3 linked regions of the Kluyveromyces lactis genome follow. The protein of the gene in region 1 interacts with the protein of each later gene in a pairwise test. Links are inferred from orthologs where the notes say so. Each region holds a gene or a part of one and is shown in the gene's direction. Other genes may lie near its edges. The genes, in order: IME4, KAR4 and MUM2.

The links.
Region 2: the proteins of IME4 (region 1) and KAR4 interact in a two-hybrid assay, tested with the Saccharomyces cerevisiae proteins (2 studies listed by BioGRID). The link is inferred for Kluyveromyces lactis from reciprocal best matches to the Saccharomyces cerevisiae genes IME4 and KAR4.
Region 3: the proteins of IME4 (region 1) and MUM2 interact in a two-hybrid assay, tested with the Saccharomyces cerevisiae proteins (2 studies listed by BioGRID). The link is inferred for Kluyveromyces lactis from reciprocal best matches to the Saccharomyces cerevisiae genes IME4 and MUM2.

What each region holds. Positions count from the first base shown.
Region 1 is NC_006042.1:845,569-849,210, reverse strand, and holds IME4 (mRNA (N6-adenosine)-methyltransferase), read left to right. Parts: upstream 1-1,465; coding exon 1,466-3,040; downstream 3,041-3,642. Other genes in the region: histone deacetylase HOS2, read right to left, coding at 1-744.
Region 2 is NC_006039.1:48,095-51,107, forward strand, and holds KAR4 (Kar4p), read left to right. Parts: upstream 1-1,417; coding exon 1,418-2,389; downstream 2,390-3,013. Other genes in the region: KLLA0_C00671g (uncharacterized protein), read right to left, coding at 1-945; KLLA0_C00715g (uncharacterized protein), read right to left, coding at 2,576-3,013. UniProt on the Saccharomyces cerevisiae protein: Component of the MIS complex, a complex that mediates N6-methyladenosine (m6A) methylation of meiotic mRNAs and is required for initiation of meiosis, progression through the meiotic divisions and sporulation.
Region 3 is NC_006042.1:1,720,303-1,723,050, forward strand, and holds MUM2 (Mum2p), read left to right. Parts: upstream 1-1,431; coding exon 1,432-2,244; downstream 2,245-2,748. Other genes in the region: ubiquitin-specific protease UBP14, read left to right, coding at 1-748; 3-deoxy-7-phosphoheptulonate synthase ARO3, read right to left, coding at 2,706-2,748.

The sequences.
Region 1 (3,642 bases):
AACGTTCAATGCAAAATGCTTACCTCTGGAGCAACCTATCTCATCCAAATCACCTGTACCTGGAAAGAATTCGCCGTTATACTTATGGAATGAAACAGTGAACACACGGTCAGTAGTGTAAAACGCTTCCTGTACACCGTCACCATGGTGCAAATCTATATCGATGTATAACACTCTCGGGTGATACCGCAGTAGATTTACTATGGCTAACACGATATCGTTAACGTAACAGAAACCAGATGGATTGTTCTTTTTCGCATGATGTAGACCACCAGACCAATTGATAGCTATTTCACTCTGACCATTAAGTAGCTTTCTAGAAGCATCTAACGATGCCCCAGCATATAAGGCAGCATAATCAAACATTCCTTGGAAGATAGGACAATCGTCACCAATGTTGAATTTCTCGAGTGACCCTCGAGGAAGTTTATTCAATGTATCTGGTGTTACCTTCGCTAAGAAATTGACATAGTCCTCAGAATGAAATTTTGTTAACTCATCCTTTGTTGCTGACCTCGTCTCATATAAGTCCATCACTTTGTGTAACCCGTATGCCGAAACCAAATGGTCGGTAAGCATAAGCCTAAAAGGTTTCATTGGATGCTTGACACCGTAATGATATTGTGATACCTTCGAATTGAAGTGGTACGAGACTCTGGGACTATAGGAAGTCCCAAAATCACAATCAAACAATGGCTTCTCAGCTTCCGTTTTCTCATCAAATTTAAGTGTATCCGATGACATCTTATGAAAAGGATTCCGCTACCACTTACCCGTAATGAATAACTGCCACTCAGCCAGAATTGATACTTGGTAGCTACAATCTGCAAAGAGTTGGGTATTGGCTCGGTCGATTGTCTATTCGACCTTTCCGTACTTTATTTATGTGTTGTTCTGTTATTACTGTATTTTCAAATTCCATGTTTTTTTATTCCAAGTGGATCAGAACCATAAACTCCGTACATCACATGAACCAATCACGTGATAACAACGTATCAAGATGAAGGATGTACCCCACAATTCTAAAGAGAGATCAGCATCGTTGCAGATTCACGTATAATACACTGGTAAAGCCCTTCACTTTCCTGCCAGTTTGGAGCCTGTGTATTCCCCTGTTCACAACGAATTCCTACCTAGATCAAACTCGGATTTGAAAATAAAAAATCCCAGCTTCATCACGAAATACACCATCTTTTTAAGACAGAACCATTGTTAAACGTGGATGGAACTGAGAGGAAAAGCCGGCAATTTATATATAGTTTCATGACATTGTAGGCACAGAAAGTTTGTGAAAGTTGTGGTGATCGAAAAAAATATACGGATTTGTTATATCTTGTCTGGAGCCAGAGATATTGACGTCGGCGGTTGTTTTTTTATTGAGTGGAGTAACAAGGTGAAACGAAACTGAATATAGCTGCGTCTCGAAAGAAATTGTCCGAGCAGTGAAAGGAGTGAAACTGGTATTATGTCTTTGAATTGGGGGTTAGTTGATTTTATGTTGGACAACTATGCGTCCATCACTGCATCCCCGATCAATGGTAGCTTACACGACATTTATGTCATTTATTCCATGTTCATGCAAAATTTCCTATGGAAGAATAACGAATGTGGTGAGACGTATTACCAGTTTTGTGAAGATTTGAATAAAATTTCAGAAGTATGTGGTGGTTGCATGAATTTTGAAGATGATAGTGGCGGGAATATTTTTGGCCAAAAGATTTCATTTGTTGATGGGGACTCCTTGAAAATATTGCAAAAAGTTCATTATGACCAAGCTATTAAATTGTCATTATCACATACTGGCAATAAAGCCAAGCAGATTGCGATCGATAAAGATTCTGTTCAGGTTAAAGAAAGAAAAATTGAAAGCGAACCCATATTATTAAATAAGTTGATGGGCATTTTGGACCAGAGTGAAATTGTAACCCCTAATGCTAAGTGTCTAAGACACTTAAATCAAATCCTCTCGTTAGAACTCGGATCCACTAAGTTATCTAAAGAACAGGCAAAATTAAACACTAAGCGATCACCTTTCATACCAATATGCTCAGATCCGAAACATGTGTCACTACTATCCACCGTCATCAATACTGTTAACAACAAAATCATGTCTTTGCAAGGTGAAAAATTAAAGAAGATTGAAGCTGATTGTCCGGATATTATCGAATGTTCGAACACGCACATTCATTTCATACCAAATTTAAAGCCACAGACGGATCTTTCGTTGGGAGATTGTTCGTATTTGGATACTTGTCACAAGTTAAGTACCTGCAGATACGTCCACTATCTGCAATATTATCCTGAATCTCTCCAAAAACAGAAAATTGAAGAACAAAAAGAGCAACGCAAGCAGTATTCGTTCTATACGCATGGAGAGTGCTGTTCTTCATCGTTTAAGAAGCTTCTTCCTCCACAATGGATCAAATGTGACGTCAGAAAGTTTGACTTCGATATTCTTGGTAAATTTTCAGCCGTTATTGCAGATCCCGCATGGAACATTCATATGAATTTGCCCTACGGTACTTGCAATGATAATGAGTTACTGCAACTACCATTTGATCTCTTGCAGGAAGAAGGTTTATTGTTCTTGTGGGTAACCGGCCGTGCTATCGAAGTAGGGAAAGAATCATTGCAGAATTGGGGTTACGAAGTAATAAATGAAATATCTTGGATCAAGACAAACCAATTAGGAAGAACAATTGTGACAGGTAGAACTGGCCATTGGTTGAACCACAGTAAAGAGCATTTACTCGTCGGGGTCAAAGGCAATCCGGAATGGCTAAACAGAAAAATAGACATTGACTTGATCATTAGCGCAACTAGAGAAACCAGTAGAAAGCCGGACGAATTGTATGGAATCATTGAAAGACTTGTCGGTACACATGCCCGTAAACTTGAAATTTTCGGTAGGGACCATAACATCCGTCCTGGATGGTTCACGATAGGAAATCAAGTGACAGGCTCATCTATCCATGAAGTGGATGTGAAAAGGAAATACGAAAGATTCATGGAAAAATCAAAGAATTCAAAGACAAACTAAAGATGTAATACTCTCTTTACTTCAAATGTCCTAGCTTTTATTTGTCGATACACAGTATCCATTAGGAGTCTGTATGTGTTCCTTCTTACTTTTCTTCTTTTTTTTAATTTATGTCATACGCCCTTGTAATTACAAACGTTACATTACCCACAAGTTCGTGCTACACTTAAGCAGCAATAGGCAATCTTTTGATTTCCATAACCATGGCTGATCCTACGGGCGTTCTATTAGCCAACGCGCTTGTTTTTTGAATTCAATGCAACAAGCTCTCAGCTTAATCTAGCATTCTATATATTAGGAACGGTGTTTCTGTCCACTACACCAACCCCAGCCGGCAAGTCCCTGCAGCAGCTACTAGAATGACATGCGATGGCTCAGGTTTGCTAAAAACCCAAAATCAATTACCGCCAGGCCGTGAAACAAATATTGTTACCCGGACTTGAATTCCTGAACGTCAATATTACACTGTTTGTCAATATGTATAAAGAGATGCAACAGAAACAGAAAATAAAGTAGGAAGTACTTCTGAATCTGTTGCCAGTGTGAACGGTATCGTATGAGCTACTTGTGGGTTTGTAGTCCCGGCGAGACAGCAACACCAT
Region 2 (3,013 bases), on another chromosome or scaffold:
ATAAGCCAATTCTTTTGCCGCTTTATTAAAGTCAGAATTTAAACGCTGAAAGACTGCCCAAAAAAGTGAGTTTTCACTAAAAGTATACCACATAGAACTCAATTTCAATGACCTCAGGTGGTTAGGCAAAGGAACTGCGGAAATATTCAAATCAATTAATAGCTCCTGAAGAAGAAGTATGTTTTCCATCTTTGGCACAATGGCGTCGCATTGTTCTAAAAACAAAAGTGTTATAAATCTGCTATCACCTGATATTAAGTATCCAATAAAAGTCAATGTTCTATGATATAATGTCCCATCCAAATCCTGGATTATTTTCCCAACAATCTCAGTGGTATCTGAAAAAACTTGAAATATCACAGCGAATACCTCTTTGAGATCTCTGGTGGTATTATATTCTGTAATTAATCGCAATAGTGCTATCATTTCATGATCGCTAACTTCTCGAAGCATCGAACAGCAAACGTTCACAAATGTCAAAAACATATCATCATCTAATGTATCCCATAAACTTACCAAAAATTGTTCTTGCAAAATTACACCTGCACTGAATGACTTTGGTACTTTCAGGAAAAATTTTGGTAACCATATCTTGTTGAACTCAAACCTACTCGAAACAGTTTTATAAACTATCTCTTGCATAATTGATCTGCTTTCTGGGTCAAAAGGACCCTTGCTTTTTGTTTCGATATCATGCAAATACTGGAACACAGGGTTTTCACCACCGTTCTGCACAACTACTGCTTCCAAAAAAGCTTCTGATTTTAGAATAGTATCATTGATAACTTGGATTTCTCGAAGTACATTCAAATCTATGACTAAGTTTTCAGTGTACCGTCCAACGTTTTCTAAAAGATCATTAGACTTTTTAGATAGATCTTTTTCCCCAGAAGAGATACTATATAACATGCCAATCTCACTATCGACTGCGTGTATCGTGTGCATGCTCTATATTTTTGAAGATAATACGTTCTCGAACAGGAAATATCAAATGCTGTAATTCAAAACACAGGTCAAACCCAAACCAAACATTTTGTGACAGGAAATTCAAATCTGCTGTTATTCCTAGTGTCTGTTGAACCAAAAGGCTTGACATAAACCTGCGACAGCGAAGAAAATAATTTTTTTCTTTTTTTGTTTTGACGCTTCTTTTTGTCACTGATAGTTTCAGATTGAAACTTTCATTCTAACGGAAAACGCGAACATATGTCAAGAATGAAAATCCTTTATAAACGGCGGCAAAATATTCTTATGAGTAACAATTAAAAGACACATTTCTAGTGCTAGTACAAGGCATCATCTGCTAAAACCCAATTTCACACAGTAGTATTTATACTCATATGGAAAGCACTTTTGTTTCAAGTATACACTTATTTCTAGTACTTTTCTCAGGATAAAACTATAACTGGCTGCTGAAATGTCGGCGGTTTTAGAGGAAATATATCAGAAAAAGGGGAATTCGAGTAAGAGCGTAGCGAGAGAACATGTCACACTTAGGCCTGCAAATGAGTTTCACACGAATGATCATTCAAATAACTATATACATACTGGATCGCTTCCCCAAACCCACGTAAGAAACATTGAGAATACTGTTGATGGATATCCGAAGTTGCAGAGGCTATTTAGCCTGAAGGAAAGGCAGGTAATGCAGTTTAATACAAAACCATTTGGTTGCAAGGTAGAGCTTGATGAAATAGTTCCCACATTAAATGATTGGGTACAAAAAGATGGTTTAACTTTCGATGTTGTCATGATTGGTTGCTTGACTGATAATCAATTTATCTATCCCCTTTTAACTCAGTTACCGATACATAAATTGATATCAAAGCCAGGGTTTTTATTTGTATGGGGAAGTGCACAGAAGATCAATGAGCTTTCAAGACTTTTGAACAACGAAATATGGGCAAAAAAGTTTCGCAGAAGTGAGGAGTTGGTTTTCGTCCCTGTCAACAAGAATTCACCATTTTACCCCGGATTAGAAGCAGACGACGAGTCACTTTTTGAAAAGATGCAATGGCATTGTTGGATGTGTATCACAGGAACAGTAAGAAGAGCCACGGATGGCCATCTCATACATTGCAACATTGATACCGATTTAGCAATCGAATCAAAAAATAGTAAAGTTGGGGCAATTCCGAATCAATTGTACAAGGTAGCAGAGAATTTTAGCACCGCTACAAGGAGACTTCATATCGTTCCCGCCAGAACAGGAAGTGAAACACCAATCCGGATGAGACCTGGTTGGGTTATCATGGGTCCAGATGTACTGCTAGACAACTTCAACGCTATGGAATATAAAAATGAGGTTGGAAGAGTTGGATCGAACCTGCCAAAAGATCCCTCCATAGAGTCATTAAGACCAAAATCTCCAATATCTATTAAAAATTGATGGTATATATAAGCTTGTAATTTCTAATTTGCATTCAGAAGGGCTAAGGTCTTGATTTGAACGAGGCATACGATATGTGTCATGTGTTTTATGTCTAGTCACTGTGGTCATTATCAATACAATCTCCATTCCCAAAATCGGCCGGTTATTTTGAATGAATAAAAACATCAGTTAAAGGCATTTTATTCATTTGAACCATTGTTCAACACCTTCCTTGATTGGAGTCAATAAACCTTTTTGTTTTGGTACATAGTTAATTCTATGGTAAGCGTTCAAATTCTTTCTCAAGACAATTTGGAAACAGGTGGCAGAGCCCTGTCTGGAAATAATAGTGGAGTATGCTAGGAAAAATTCCCAGATTCTGTACCATCTCATCCCATACTTGTTGACAACATCGTCCTTATGGCCAATCCAGTTTCTGTACCATCTCCATAAAGTTGCGGAGTAATCAACACCGATATTATCAATCGAAACGACCTCAAATCCAGTAGCTTCTAATTTTGAAACGACAAAATCTAACGGTGTAGAAGCGTCAGCACCAGGGAAAATATACTTGTTCATGAAAAGACCCCAGATCAAATCTTCGTATTGCCATGGCTTTCTCAATCCGGCGTATTGTAAGTA
Region 3 (2,748 bases), about 870 kb from region 1:
CAACTGGCAGCCAAGCAAGACATCAGAGCAAGTTGTGGTACCTGGTGTACGCGATGATGCTTTACTAGATATGTCCCCATTCAAAGCTACAGGAATTTGCGAAGGGGAAGAAGTCGAAGAAGAAGAGGAATCAGATTCCTTCCAATTCAACGAATTGTTCCTAGGACAATTAGAACAGATGGGATTCTCTCGCAATGCTACCAAAAGAGCATTATTTGAAACGGGAAACTCTGACCCTAATGCAGCCACGGAATGGTTGTTCCAGCATATGGAGGACCCTAACTTAAACGAGGCCTTTGATCCTCATGCTTCATCCTCAGCGAAAAATCGTGTCGATTCAGAAGCACTAAACAGTATGACTGCTATGGGGCTTGATTCGAAACTATGCCGCAAAGCTTTGATATTGAAGAATGGTGACGTCAATGCCAGTGTAGAATGGGTTTTCTCCCATATGGATGACGACGGGGAGTTACCTGAAGCTGAGGAATGGAAGGATCAATCCAGAAAAAGTTTTGGAATCCCAGCATCGTCAATTGCCTCTGCTAAGTATAAACTGACTGCTGTCATATGCCATAAAGGTAATTCAGTTCACAGTGGCCATTACGTTGCATTTATTAAGAAAGTGGTCGAAGGAAAAGAACAATGGGTTCTCTACAACGATGAAAAAATTCTCTTGGCCAACGATGAACCAAATTTCGAGGACATAGAAAAGAATGGCTACATGTTTTTCTTCAACCTTGAAGAATAAGAGGCATCTCCTCTCTAAATAAAAGAGACATGCATCACAACATGAAACTCTAAAAAAATAGGACTTGCCCACCTTCCTATCTGCATTGGGTATTCAACGATATGGTTGTGTGTCCATATATACATATATATCCTCGTACATGACTCAATTCAATACAGTATGGTGGGCTTATTCCTATTTATAGCGGTTCCTGTCTGGAGGCAGTTGTGTCCAGCCATTGCAAGTCACGTGAATATGCTTCATGATTCCCTGAAAATGAAACATGTCAGATCTGCCCTTAAAAATAAAGCAAACTAGATCAATTATTTACCAGTGACAGAACACTTGTTACCAAGTAAGTAGTCACACAATCTTCCAAAAACGATCAACAAACCATAAGTTATTTTAAAACCATGAATTCAAACGGATATATGTCTTACGTAAGTTTTTGCATACATTGGAGGATTGCCTACATGACACATTTTTAATCAATACTGTTTCTGTCTGTCCCTGTTTTCTATGAAACATGGAACAACCAAATTGAGACTATAAATGTTTCTAACTCATAATTAACCTTTTACTAACAGGTCAATGTTATCGTGTAGCAACCTGAATATAACCAACAGAGTTTGGATAACTCTTTCGCCAATCTGAATTTTGGTAGTTCTGACGAGTCCAAATTGTATGGCACAACCGCCAATGTCATGAACTCCAGCATGGCACATGGAGGTAGCTTCAGCTTACATGGGAACATTGATGGTATGGGCTCCCACTATAACCAAGGACTTCAGGGCCATTTGAGCGGATCTTCTACTCATAGGAGCAGCATGTCATCATATTGGGAACAGCCGCTCATAGAACAACATAATTCGCCCGAGATAGAGTCCTCGAGAGGCATTTCGTCAAACACGCATCCTGGAAGCTCTTCAAATAACACGGTAATAATGGACAGATCATCATATGCTAAAAGCTCAGGATTCAATACCACTTTCGACTCTGAAACAGAGCCATCATCAGACAACTTCAAACTTGAACTACAGTTGAAAGAGACACAGATAGAATCGTTAGAAATAGAGATAAAAAAATTGAAGGAGGTATTCAATCAGGGTTTGACTTTCAAGCAGCAAGAAGAGCAGAAAATGAAGAAATCAAAGGCTCTTACTTTCGATTCTGAAATCCAGATACCGGCATCCCTGGAAATAATATTTTGTAAGTTATCAGATTCATTAAAGAGAAAGGACCAAGAATTACAAGAAACAAAAAGACGACTAGAAGGAATAGTTACAGCGGTTGCGCTTAACCCTTCAAATTCTACTACAAAGTTTGGTAGATATGACGAAGAAGCTTTAGCACATAAAATGGTAACTCGATTGGAAACTTTAATGAAGGAAAACGAAGAAATGGCAAAAATGCTTAGTTATGGTCGAGTGAAGGAGACAAGTATCGAGCTCGAACTTTTACGTAAAGAAAACCAAGAACTCAAAGAAAGACTAAGGATTCTACAGCAAGAAAAGTAACACCAAAGTATAAGATCTTGATCCTTCTTTTTCTGATATTTTTGCTTTTTTCTGCCAATGACATTCTAGTTGGACGTTTTATTTGACGATCTAAAAACTTTCGAGAGTAATTCAAGATACATGTATGCTATATAACATCTACCTAGATTAGGTATACTTTGCTGACACACAAAAATGTAAATGAACCATTGATATTTATTTCATCCGACGTTAGAAACTTACGATTAGAGAAACTTGAACATACAAAGTGTAGACCTTTATGTGAAGTAATTTTAGTTGATTAAATAAACTGTATGCGGACTTGTCCTTGTAATATGTACATGAGGAGGCTCGGAAAATAAATATTGGTTGGCCGTTTATTCTTCCAGTTACCTGAGTTTGGCTATCTTTTCAAGAAGTGATTGTGTGTTTAAGAAGATTATGAGGTATTACAAAAACGATGCGGGAAAAGTGATTGTTATTCAAGCCTTTGAAAGAGCTCTTCTGTTTTTAACACCCTTTGCC